Linked DNA regions of Oryctolagus cuniculus. The protein of the gene in region 2 purifies or fractionates together with the protein of the main gene of each other region. This does not show direct contact. Links are inferred from orthologs where the notes say so. Each region holds a gene or a part of one and is shown on either strand. Other genes may lie near its edges. The genes, in order: SH2D1A and SLAMF6.

What was found.
Region 1: the proteins of SLAMF6 (region 2) and SH2D1A purify together in Homo sapiens (co-immunoprecipitation; 5 studies listed by BioGRID and IntAct, with this or other methods). This does not show direct contact. The link is inferred for Oryctolagus cuniculus from reciprocal best matches to the Homo sapiens genes SLAMF6 and SH2D1A.

Annotation. Positions count from the first base shown.
Region 1 is NC_091453.1:102,132,601-102,139,280, reverse strand, and holds the start of SH2D1A (SH2 domain-containing protein 1A), read right to left. Parts: upstream 3,564-6,680; 5' UTR 3,471-3,563; intron 3,259-3,470; exon of another isoform or gene 3,157-3,258; 5' UTR 3,057-3,156; coding exon 2,920-3,056; intron 1-2,919.
Region 2 is NC_091438.1:38,417,578-38,423,640, reverse strand, and holds part of SLAMF6 (SLAM family member 6), read right to left. Parts: intron 3,427-6,063; coding exon 3,163-3,426; intron 2,720-3,162; coding exon 2,609-2,719; intron 2,312-2,608; coding exon 2,273-2,311; intron 961-2,272; coding exon 881-960; intron 1-880. UniProt on the Homo sapiens protein: Self-ligand receptor of the signaling lymphocytic activation molecule (SLAM) family.

The DNA.
Region 1 (6,680 bases), on a different chromosome or scaffold from region 2:
AATATGAGTGACTCCTCTGGAGCCCCCCTCCTAGCCTCCTGATGACAGATTAAGGCTCTTCCCCCCCACAATGCATGCACAGATTTATTTATCTATTTGAAAGTCAGAGTCACAGGGAGAAAGGGAGAGGAAGGGAGAAGAGGGAGGGAGAAGAGGGAGGGAGGGTGGGAGGGATTGACTGATCTTCCATCAGCTGATTCACTCCCCGGGTAGATGAATAGCCAGGGCTGGGCCAGAAGCCAGGAGCTTCATCTGAATCTCCCACATGGGTGCAGAGGCCCAAACGCCTGTGCCATCTTCTGCTGCTTTTACCAGGGAGCTAGATTGGAAGTGGAGCAGCCGGGACACAAACTGGCGCCCCTTCAGGATACTGGCATTGCAGGCATTGGCTTTACCCATCTCACCAAAACGCAAGCCCCTGGATCAAGGCTCTTCGCAGTAAAAAACAGAATTTCCTTCTATAGTTCACTGGTTGGTTAATTCAGAAATATTTTTTGAGTGCCTATCTATGCACCAGGCTATATTCCTGGGGCTGGAGATGAAGACCCTTGCCCTCACGGAGATTACATTTTTTCTATTTATTTATTTATTTTATTTATTTATTTTTTGACAGGCAGAGTGACAGTGAGAGAGAGACAGACAGAGAGAAAGGTCTTCCTTTTTCCGTTGGTTCACCCACCAAGTGGCCGCTATGGCCGGCACGCTGCACCACCCTGAAGCCAGGAGCCAGATGCTTCCTCCTGGTCTCCCATGCGGGTGCAAGGACCCAAGGACTTGGGCCATCCTCCACTGCCCTCCCGGGCCACAGCAGAGAGCTGGACTGGAAGAGGAGCAACCAGGACAGAATCTGGTGCCCCGACCGGGACTAGAACCAGGGGTGCCAGTGCCGCAGGTGGAGGATTAACCTAGTGAGCCGCGGTGCCAGCCGAGATTACATTTTTCTAGAAGATCCCAGCAATACAGTTAAGTAAACATGCAAATGTCAGGCCTTTAAAGCTCCTTGAAGAAAAATAAAGAGCACGTAAGTGGGAGAGGTAGAGGGCATTCAGTCTAGATAGGGTGGCCAGAGAAGGCCTCGCTGAAGGAAGAGTCAGTTGCCTAAACATGTAAATCAAATTTTTGCAGAAGGAGCATTAAGGGCAAAAACCCTAAATAGGAAGCATACTCAGTGAGCTTAAGAAATGGCCAGGAGGCCAGCAAAAATGAAGCCTTAATGTACGTAGCCACACACTGTCCCCCGCTCTCCCAACCCCTGCCCAGGCTTCTTTTGTGCCTTCCTCTTTACCGCTAAGCTAAGAAGCACATTACCTCCTTGGCTAGCTTCCCTAAAGCAGCCCCCTCAACCCTCCCACTCACTCCCCTACCTTCTTTTGATAATGAAAGAGTCTATCTATAAAGAAACAACAAATGCTTGCAGGAGATTGACATGTTTATCTAGATTTGAACATTACATGACGTATGCACGTATCAAAACATCAATGGAGCCCCATGAATATGTACAATTTTCATATATCAGTTAAATTTTTAAATTTTTTTTAAATTAAAAAGAAAAGCGCCTAAGAATCCTAGTTGGCTTTCACCACCCTCTCCTGGTTTCACTCAGGAAGCACAGTAATATCAGGAAAACATGAAACTGCAAGCTCAAGAGATTCAGTAACTTGTGTGCATCTCCTTTGCAGTCCTTATGATGAATGTATTTAGTACAATCTCAGAACTACTACTAACAAACCTTGGCCATTTTTAAAAACCAATATACAATCAATGTATCATCAATACTGAACTGACTGACTACCAAGCGTTAGCCCTTATTTTGTTTCTGTCTAGAACCTAACGTAGAGTGCTGGTGTTTCCATGGGTGATTTTATCCTGGTGATGACAATGCTTCAGCTAGGTCCTTCCCAGGAGTGTTAAAAGTAATCAACTGAAAGAGAAGATTGATTGTAATAATACCAATATCTTATTTCTACTGAACACTTACTATGTGTTAGGTTCAGTGTTAATTTTTTACATGCATTACAGCACGGAACCTTCACAGTTCTGTGAGGTGGGTAATACCCATTGAATGGATGCAGAAACTGAAAGACCAAGACATTAATTTGCCAAGGCCACACACCTGGCTTCTGACCAGCACAGGGTTTCGCTCTCACAGCTGTCTGCCTCTGGAGCCCTGGAACAAAGATGCAGGTGCATCTGATTCAAAATGGGGCATTTAGACCCAGACACGCCTAGACAAAGGCAAAGCTGAATCATGACGAGGGTGTTTTCCCGCCACACCCTTTACCACTATCGGTCCTAGCTTTCATAGAGGAGGGTCTTATTTTTAAAACCTCCTGTCCCCCACACACCTCCTCTAAAAGAAGCTAAATAAGCTGATCCAGAGCAGCAGTTTTACTCACACACACCCCATCTCTGCGTCCTGACCCAACTGGTGGCCGCATTCTGAAAGTAATGGACTCTGCCCTTTAGTCTGCCTCCTCTCCCTGAATTTGGTATTCTTCCTTTGGGATGACACTTCCAAACCATCTCAAGAGAGGCCTTTCCTTCTCTCCAGAGCTGGGGGCCCCAAATCTGATTGGCCCATCATTCCAGGACTCCATCTTGCTGGCCTCAGTTGGAAGTCAAGACGGAAGCCAGGAGCCCGAGTCTCAAAGCAAAGGTAAATTCTAGGCCATGCTTCCCCATATCCTCAAGGCTACATTCTGCAGCTGCCCAGAAAGTCCCTGGCGAGGTCCTCCTGGAGAGGCGGCAGCCAGGGAATGAAATCCCCAGGAAGACACTCGGCCAAAGTGGGAGCTGAACAGGAAATCTTGCGGCCATGGAGAGGAGATCTTAATGAACAACTGCCACCCGCATCCCTGCCCCCAGGCCCCCCGTGCCCACTGCCCACACTCTGCGCCGCCACAGCCATAACGTACTCACAGCACACAAAGGCAATACACGCCCGGGACACTCTCACTGTCCCTCAGCAAATAGCTGCCGTCCAGCCCGGTGGCGAGCAGGAGCTTCTCCCCGGTTTCCCTGCTGATTTTGCCATGATACACAGCCACCGCATCCATTGCCTAGGAGACTCTGGGGCAGGCCGAGGTTTGCAGATGGTACTTGGGAGATGCAGCTGCTGCAGCCAGGCACAAGTCAGCCACCTGACTCCCAGTTCAGCTAAATGTGCAAAAAGAAAGAGAAGCACCGGAACAACAGGATGTTGTCTACCTGCCTAAAAACCTCCCTCTCACACTTCAATTAAAACCAGCTCAGCAACTTAGCCGCTTGGTTCTATCAAACTTGTCACCGGGTGTGGTCCCCACCCCCCAACCAACATAGGGTTCCTACAAAGAGTGCAACCTTGGAAAACGGACTTTGCACGATTTGGGCTGTACTGCCAATGCAGACTCTCACCCACTGACAAGAGTGCTTGGTAATGCTTCGATTCTTGCATTTTCCCCCCTGGGGCCACCGGGAATGACTTAGCTTACCCGATCTTCAAAGGAGTTGATAGAGGCAGCGTGTCATGCGGGGCTGAAACCTACTGAAGACGGAAGGACTAAAAGCTCTGAAACCAAAGCACCGAAACGGCACCTTCTATATGCAATTACTACTGATCATGGCCATGAGACTCCTGCAGAATCAGATGAAGCAGGTGAACAATAGACTTTGGGCAAGTTCCTCTCTCTCAGCTCCTAACTCAGATAGTCATCTTGAACGATCCTGGTCCTAAGTAAATACTGATTTTTTTTCTAGCACCTTGTCTAGGATCCCAATGTGCTGGAGGAGGTACAAAAATCCCAGTGTATGTCCAAAGGTATTCCAGATTTGTCTATTTGCTGGGCCCTGGAATGAAGCCAAATCATTTAACTGGGTCTTCATCATTACATGGATTTGTCTATGCCCTTTGGTGTGTAGGGCCCGCTTTTCAGGATTTCAGCCATAAAACTTGTTTTACAACATTTTGTGCATGTTGATAATTGTGTGGTAACTTTTATTCTGTTGTTTCTAGAGAATGGCTTCTTCTTCAATTGATGTTAAGCTGTCATTAATTTTTTAAAAGCCTTCAGCCTACATTTTCTTCTCTGAAATAAAGCATTGCTTCTATTTCAAATAGTGATAAGTAATATTTCCCAAAAACTTCCTCCATTTTTGCTAGACATCGTTTAATGCCTGGAACTCAACAGTCTTACACATGTCACGTTAGATTATGTAAAATACTTTTAGAATTGGAATACAAAGAGCTGAAGCTATGTTGTCTGTTGTATTCCTTTCACCACTTCACCACCTACTTTTCTGAGAATGCGTCTGGGCTGGGAACTCTCTTGGGAGGACATTTAAACCCTCATATCTTAACCAATGAATTGGATGCTCAGAGCCAAAGATGGTTATTTTCCCTCCAACTATGAGGGTTAAGGACAATCCTTTTGGCCAGCACCACGGCTCAATAGGCTAAATCCTCCGCCTGCAGGGCTGGCACATGGGGTTCTAGTCCCGGTTGGGGCGCCGGATTCTGTCCCAGTTGCCCCTCTTCCAGTCCAACTCTCTGCTATGGCCCGGGAGTGCAGTGGAGGATGGCCCAAGTCATTGGGCCCTGCACCCCATGGGAGACCAGGAGAAGCACCTGACTCCTGGCTTTAGATCAGCTCAATGTGCCGACTGCAGTGCGCCGGCCGTGGCAGCCTTTGGAGGGTGAACCAACGGCAAAAGGAAGACCTTTCTCTCTGTCTCTCTCTCACTGTCCATTCTGCCTGTCAAAAAAAAAAAAAAAAAAAAAAAAAAAAAGGACAATCCTTTAAGATTTCAGTGGTAGCCAGCAACAGCTCTCCTTGGTGGAAGAATGCCCAGCCATAGTAGCTGAAATATAAGTCTCCTTCATTTCTTTTCACATTTTAGAGACTTTAACGATTTTTAATTAGTTTTTTACAGATTGAACGTGCTTTGTAGACACAAACATAATATTCTCTTCCTTTTTGAGGTAACATTTTAAATTTATGTTACAGTGAAAACGCTTAATACTAAGTTTAGCAAGTAAAAAGTAAAAAAGACCCTAGTTTAGTGGGAATATAAACAACAGCTATAAATATTTGAATGGAAAAATGGTCATTTCACCCATATACAGTAAATTTTAAAGCAATCACAGATCATTAAAACTATAGTAGTATAGCTTTTTTAAAAAAAATTATTTGGCAGTCAGAGTTACACAGAGAAGGGGAGACAGAGACAGAGAGAGAATCTTCCATCTGCTGTTTCACTCCCCCACTGGCCACAACAGCTGGAGCTGTGCCAATCGGAAGCCAGGAGCTTCTTCTGGGTCTCCCACACGGGTACAGGGGCCCAAGTACATGGGCTATTTTCTACTGCTTTCCCAGGCCATAGCAGAGAACTGGATGGGAATTGGAGCAGCCAGGACTTGAACTGGTGCCCATATGGGATGCCGGCACTACAGGTGGTGGCTTTACCTGCTACAACACAGCGCCAGCCCCTGGACTCTGTATTTTGAATGTGCAAAAGATTATCCCAGAGAAACTAATCACAATGGTGGAATTTCAAATATGAAAGAAGACAGGGGAGGGGAACCCCTTATATAAGCCCATATGGACAACAGCCCACCTGTGAAGTAAACTGTGAGAACATTTGGTGTGACACAGATTAAAAACAAAATGTAACTTTTCTTTTTTGTCTCTAAACAATTTTGACAAATCATCCACACACTTGGGAACAGAGCAACCTGGATTTGACAGGACAAGTGTACCATACGTACTTCTTTTCTTTCTCTGTTTTGTTCCATGTTGCTAAAATAGCACTCCTGTCAAAGCAGCCAGGTATGATAGGGTTCAGCACAACTAAAATCACATTTTAAAAAAACGGCGGATAAATTATAAGGTAATAGTACAGCTCTCACATCCAATACCTCATTGTCATTTCACAAGCAAGCTGACAGCCAAACCAGCCCACTAGTGTAGTGTTGATGAAAAATACTGACATCGTCACTCTAGTGCTACACACTGAGCTTAAAGTGTAGAAAAAAAGAGGAACTGAAATGGCTGGCTTCCTTATCTCTCCCCAGAGAGGAAAGGGGAAAAATGAAAGAGGAGAGCAATGGAGATAGTGGGAAGTGCCAACAGAGTAATAGGAACAATGGGTTCCAGGTACAAAATATATACCACTTAGGAGCAAAATCGTCTGTTTATTGTCTCTATAAGGTCCAAGGTGGCAGGATTTGCGTTCACCACTGTATCTTCCTTGTCTGACACATGGTAGATGCTACATATGTTGAGTAATGATTTAAATTAATGCTCTTAAGGAAATAAGGTAAAACATGGGCTAGCATTGTAGCACATCGGTTTAAGCCACTACTTGTGGCACTGGCATCCAATATGAGAATGCCAATTCAAATCCCAACTCCTCCACTTCCAATTCAGCTTCTTGCCAATGCTCCTGGGAAGGAAGCAGACGATGGTCCAAGTACTTGACCCCCTGCCACCCCTGTGGGAGATCTGTATGGAGTTCCAGGCTCCTGGTCAGCATAGTCCAGCCCTGGCTGTCGCAGGCATTTAGGGAGTGAACCGGCAAATGTAAAACTGTGTGTGCATGTGTGTCACTCTTTCAAATAACTTTAGAAAATGATACTATTTTATGCACACATGTGCACACACACACACACAAATATGGTTTCTATATGTTTGTAGCCCACCTTT
Region 2 (6,063 bases):
AGAGAGTGATTTGGCTTGTTGTCAAGAGAAATGTGGAAAGATCAGTAAACAGGTGAGAGTATCCCTTCTTGTCCTCTCTTTGCAAGGAGCCCGCTTTGCAAATACCTGTGCAGGACTGTGCGAGTGAAGATTTGCTTGGGAAATCCCCAGATTTCTATCTGGATTATTGCTTCCATCATTTGGAGATGTTTCCTTGGTTTATTTTTCAGAAATCACAAGAACTGGCCCCCCAAGATGTGCAGTGTTATTTAGAAATATGCCACCTGCAGGTGCTTTATTTAGGGGAGGTGGTGGTTGATGCATAACAGAGGAGTTCCTGATGCCTGACCAAGCCCATCTTGTTGTGTTGCTAGAGGAGAGGGGAGAATTGAGGGCTGCTCATGGCTTTTGTGTCCCCTATTGTGGAAGGTTGTACATTCTTGCCCTTCTTTCCCTCTTGGCAGAGTTCTTCTGACCTTACCTAATATCCCTACATCCAGAGGAAGAAGCCCTCTACTACAGAACTGCCTCCCTTGGAAACTCTCAATGGAACTCTGATCGGCTCAGCAAGCACTGGCTGAGTATCCTACAGGGGAAGAGAGACAAAGACTTCATTTGTAGTTTCAGGCAGCTTGCCACTGCGCTGAGGAGACAAGACTTAACGATGCATTAAGCAGTTGGAGCGCAGAGTTGCAGCAGGGTAGGAATAAACATTCCCTCAAGGGCAAGAGCGGCTGATCCTAGACTGGTCTAGTACAAGACTTTGCAGCCTCTTTGCTGCCTTCTTTTCCCCTCATTGGTGAATGTCATTTGGAATAGTCAGGTGATTATGGTGATGAGTGTGTGAGGGATGACTGTAAAAACAGTGACAGTTATGGAATATAAAGCTGAAAAGACTCACCCGGCTTGGATGAGTGACCTGTGCATACACAGTGCTCCCTGGAGATCCCGAAGTGTACTCTAAGTTCCACATGGACTCTACTGTAAGTACAAGAAGGCACAGTCAGTGGCAGAAGGCATCTTGATGTCTCTCCCTAGGACTTTGCCTTCCCCAGAGCACTTCCTGTGCACAGAGACAATGTTCAAGGTATTGTCCTTCCTTAGAGAGTTCATTTGCTCAATAATCTGGAGAAAACTCTTGTTCATGAGGTCTATTTCTGACTTCATCTGTTGGGGGGGGGAGGTGGTCTTGGGGCATCTCCCTGAGTGGCCAGAGAGCTCCTGGGCCTACAGATGAGATGGAGATACTACATTGGTAAACATAATGCAGCCAATTATTCCACATATGTGATATCATCAAAGTTCTCAGAGGGCCTTAAGGTGGAGTTGGTTATTTTAGAGATGAGGAATGGCAGGCTCAGAAAACTCAAATGATTTCTGCACGGTCACACAGGAGGTAGCAGAACAGGAACTCAAATGCATGTCTTCTGACTACCTGACTCCAAATCTATTTCTTTGGTGTGAGATGTCAGGTATCTCTCAGCCATGAAAGGTGACTCAAAGCCAATCCATGCCAGGAGTGTGCATTCCCACCAATACCATGTTTCTCTCTCTCTCTCTCTCTCTCCCTCTTTGATTTATTAACTTGAAAGTCAGAGTTACACAGAGAGAGAAGGAGAGGCAGAGAGAGAGAAAGAGAGAGAGATCTTCCACCCACTGGTTTACTCCCCATTTGGCTGCAATGGCCAATCCGAAGCCAGGAGCCAGGAGCTTCTTCCGGGTCTCCCACATGGGTGCAGGGCCCAAGGACTTGGGCCATCTTCTATTGCTTTCCCAGGCCATAGCAGAGAGCTGAATCGGAAGTGGGGCAGCTGGGACTTGAACTGGCGCCCATATGGGATGCCGGCACTGTAGGCGGCAGCTTCACCCACTATGCCACTGTGCCAGCCCCACGTTTTATCTTTTGATTGTGTCTATCCGCTGCCCAAGCCTTGGCTGAACAGCAGTGATACACTCAGGCAGTTTGGTTTTAGGCATTTGATTCTTGAATCCTGACCCTGCCCTGCCCTTGCTGGTGTCAATGGGCAGCCTATAAGTTTTTTCTATGGCACTGGAGTGTCTCCATATGCAGGGTGGGAAGCTGCCCTGAGCTTGCTAGGACAAACTGTGTGAGGGATGGGACCTCATGCTTATGAGGGACTCTAGAAGTCCCATGATTACAAGCCATTTCCCCTTGCAACTTGTAGTCTGAGCAGGGACATTCTGATTTGCTGTGTTCTCATTGTCTAGCCCTTTTGGTCACCCCCATTTCTCTTCCATTCAGCTCTTCCTAGTTAAGAATCTGGGTACTCACCAGGACTCTGGGTTTGCTGAGTAGACAAATGAAGGGAACCTGAAAAATAAAATCAGGATATGAAATGTGTGACTGTGGTGGGAGAGGTTCCCCACTGCCTCCTCGTGGGTGTTTCTCTAGGGAGTGTGTTGGGAGGGGTCACAAAAGAAGGGCAGGCTGGCCCTGTCCTTTCCGGGCTAGAGCAGGTGTCAGGTCATCCCAGCGGACCAGCTCAGCCAGGGTGTGCATCTTTCCCTCTTCACCTGTCCTCCACAAGGGGTCCTAGGCAACTGGAGACCCGAGATTCTATTCCCTGGAACCTTGGAGAAGAGACAAATAAGAGGAAAGAAAACCTGCCTCTTCTTTTACACCAGAAAATTATCCCCACAATGATGACTATAGATATCAAAGGAGCCATAATTATTATCCATGTGAAATCCCAGCGTTCATTTTCCTTATTGAAAATACCTGAAAAGAAAAAAAAGAAGTAAAACATGAGACACAAGTGGGGAGGCAATTAGCCCCTGCAGAGGCACCAATGAGCCCCTTCTCGACTGCTTTGGAGGCTGGGGGACTTCATCCATGCCCGAGGCTCTGGCCTCTGGGCAGTGTGGAGTGAGCAAAGTGCGAGCCCAGAAGAGTCAGGGTAAAAGGCAGTCAAGACTTTTCAAGACCTTGCCCTTGGGCTGTGAGTAAACTGGAGACTGGGGAGGGTGGGGAAGGAAGGAGCAGAGATCTCTGGCGGCTGGCTTATGTGGTGAGAAGCACAGACTCCAGAGCATGTTTGTTCCCTCCCAGCACTGCTTGGCTGCCTCCCACTGGGCCACTGTTGGCAATCATGCAAGGTGTGAGGACATGGTGTACCCTATGGCCCCTCTAGGCTCTCAGAGAGACCTCAGGTAGACTGTTACCTTCACAGAGGCCCCTGGCAGACACAGTGAGAGATAAGTTGTTGGCAGGGGTCTCAGCTATGCAGGTGTAATTGTGTTCACTGTCGTTCCTGGGGTCCCAGGAGATAGTGAGGTTTGGTTCACTTAGAGATGTGTTTCCTGGGGTCTGCCACCTAAGCCAGGCATTGTCATTTGGATTCTCCACAGAGCAGGTCAGGTGAATCTCGCAGGTCCTATTCTCAGACAGCTGAACGTGACTGGTAATTTGCAAGTTCCTCAGTCGCCCTATGTTTAGAGAAAAAGGGGGATCAGTTAGAATGGTTGTCATACAGAAATTGACAAACAACAAATGCTGGCGAGGATTCCCACTGTTGGTGGGAATGTAAACTGGTACAGCTGCTGTGGAAAACAGTGTGGAGATACCTCAGAAATCTGAATATAGAACTACCATATGATCCAGCCATCTCACTGCTGGAAATTTATCCAAACCAAAAGAAACCCGCATATGAAAGAGTTATCTGTACTCCCATGTTCATTGCAGCTCAATTCACAATAGCTAAGATATGGAATCAACCCAGATGTCCATCAACTGTTAACTGGATAAAGAAATTATGGTTTATATGCACTATGGAGTACTACTCAGCTGTTAAAAAAATGAAATCCTGTCTTTTGCAACAAATTGGACACAACTGGAAACCATTATACTTAGTGAAATAAGCCAGCCCTAAAAAGACAGTTACCATATGTTTTCCCTGATATGAGGTAACTAATATAATAGAGCACCTAGAATGTAACATACTGGAGTGAATTGGACATTTTGAGATTTGATGATTTTTTACAGCCCTTGTCTCTTCAGTTGAGGAACAGTGTTTTTTTTCCCTTCATTCTATTTGTTGAACTCTTTACTTAGTGTAGGGTTAACTTTACAATCATTAAGTAAATTCAAAGTACATCTTTATAAAAAGTAAGAGTGGAAATGGGAAAAGGAGGATAAAGAAGGGTTGGAGCATGGGCAGGAGGGAGGGTAGGGTAGGAAGTATCATTATGTTCCTAAGTCTGTATATATGAAATACATGAAACTTTATAACTTAAATAAAATTTAAAAAGCTTAACTAACTGAGTAGGAGTTGTGGAACACAAAATAGAAAGTTCATGGAAAATGCGATTGAAAGGTGTTTATTTTAGTGTAAATTTTTTTTTGTATTCAAACGGTTTCTTAAAAAATCCATTTTAAAGAACTTTCTATTCAGGCTAACGACAAACACAATAAAGGCAAACATGATAGTTTAACATAATAGGTTGATTTTATACAGCTCTTATATCTTTTGGTTCAGAAGTGTATTAAATGGTAGAGAACATCTGTTAAAACCATTTCTACAGAACTAGGAAATAAATGTCTAAGAAAGAAAGATTTTACAGACCTCTATCTTTTATACCCACCCCAACAGTCTAACTCTAAAAAGGAAAAAGCCAATGACTTTCCTCACAAGAACTCATGACTAGTGTTGCTTTGCTATCAAAATCTGTATTTCTGATCCGTTATGGGCATTGAGACAAGATTCAAATATTCCCAAAGAAAGAAGCGCAGTGCGCTTTGTAATAGCCCATTCAGAGGACAGAGGCAAGATGGCGGAATAGGAAGGGAGCACACTGATAGTCCGGGGAGAGACAGTTTAATAAAAGTGGAGATACTGCAGGTTCAAGGAAGAGTAGGGGAGGAAACAGCAGAAGAAACTCTTCCAGAACGCGTGATTCACAGCGGACCTGCGTGGAGAGCGTGGGAGCCCACAGTTCGGGACACCAGCGGCAGACTCAACACACCAGCGCTGGAACGCGAGGTGAGCCGAACCTCAATAGCCCAAGACACCGGCAGGCAAGCGGAGAGAGGAGACTAGAGCGAACGACCCCTGGCGGGGAAAAGTTCACCAGGCTAACTGGAAGAGAGAGAGAGAGAAAAAAAAAAAAGGTGACTGGTACGGACACAGGTTTCTCTCTCTCCGCTCACCTCTCAAGGGCGAGCCAGACAAAGAGCAGGCGCCATCTTGGACATACGTCATAAGCAGAGCGACCTCAGGTCTGCACCGGCCCTGAGCCTAGCAGAAAAACCTGACTCTGGGCGGGGCGAATTAACAGGAGATTAGGACCTAGTAAATTTGTGGTGCTACTGAACTGAGACTGTGAAAAAAGAGACGGTGGGGGAGAGAACTCAAGGAATTCACCTGAGTACTCTCCAGAGATGCTACAATTCCGTAACTTTGGCAACCCAGTGGGAGACTGAAGGAGAATTTGAGCCCACTCTGAGGGCAGAACAGATTCCCTGTGTGGTCCTTGGGAAAGAGCTTCCGATCTCTGACTCCTGTGGGTATATCATTTGCCTGCTAACTACCTCCAACTTCGTTCAGCTGTGCGGAATTACTTCCCTTTTGAATCAAAAAAAGAAAGAGAGAGAGAGAGATTTACCACGCCTAACCTGGGAGTGTCACCTTTGGCACACCAAACAGAGCTCTCAGGCCACACCCATCTCAAGCCCTAAGGCTCCATCAAAAACAGATAGTCCACTTAATCTAGAGTCATAGTATAACAAGAAAAAGCACCACAGTGAAGAAACCAAATATCTCCAATATGCCAAATAACAAACGCAAAAACCGAGGTAATAAAAACAAGGAAGTCACCATGACGCCCTCAAATGAAAAAGACACCCCAATTCAAGATTATGAAGATGATGACATAGAAGAATTGCAAGAAGCAGATCTCAAAAAATTGATAAGAACATTAAGAAGTTCTCAAAAACAAATTCTTGAACTACATAAAGCCTTAATGGACAAGATAGAAAATCTCTCTCGTGAAAATGAAATATTAAGGAGGAATCAAAATGAAACGAAACAATTAGTACAACAGGAAACTGTGATAGTGACTGAAGTG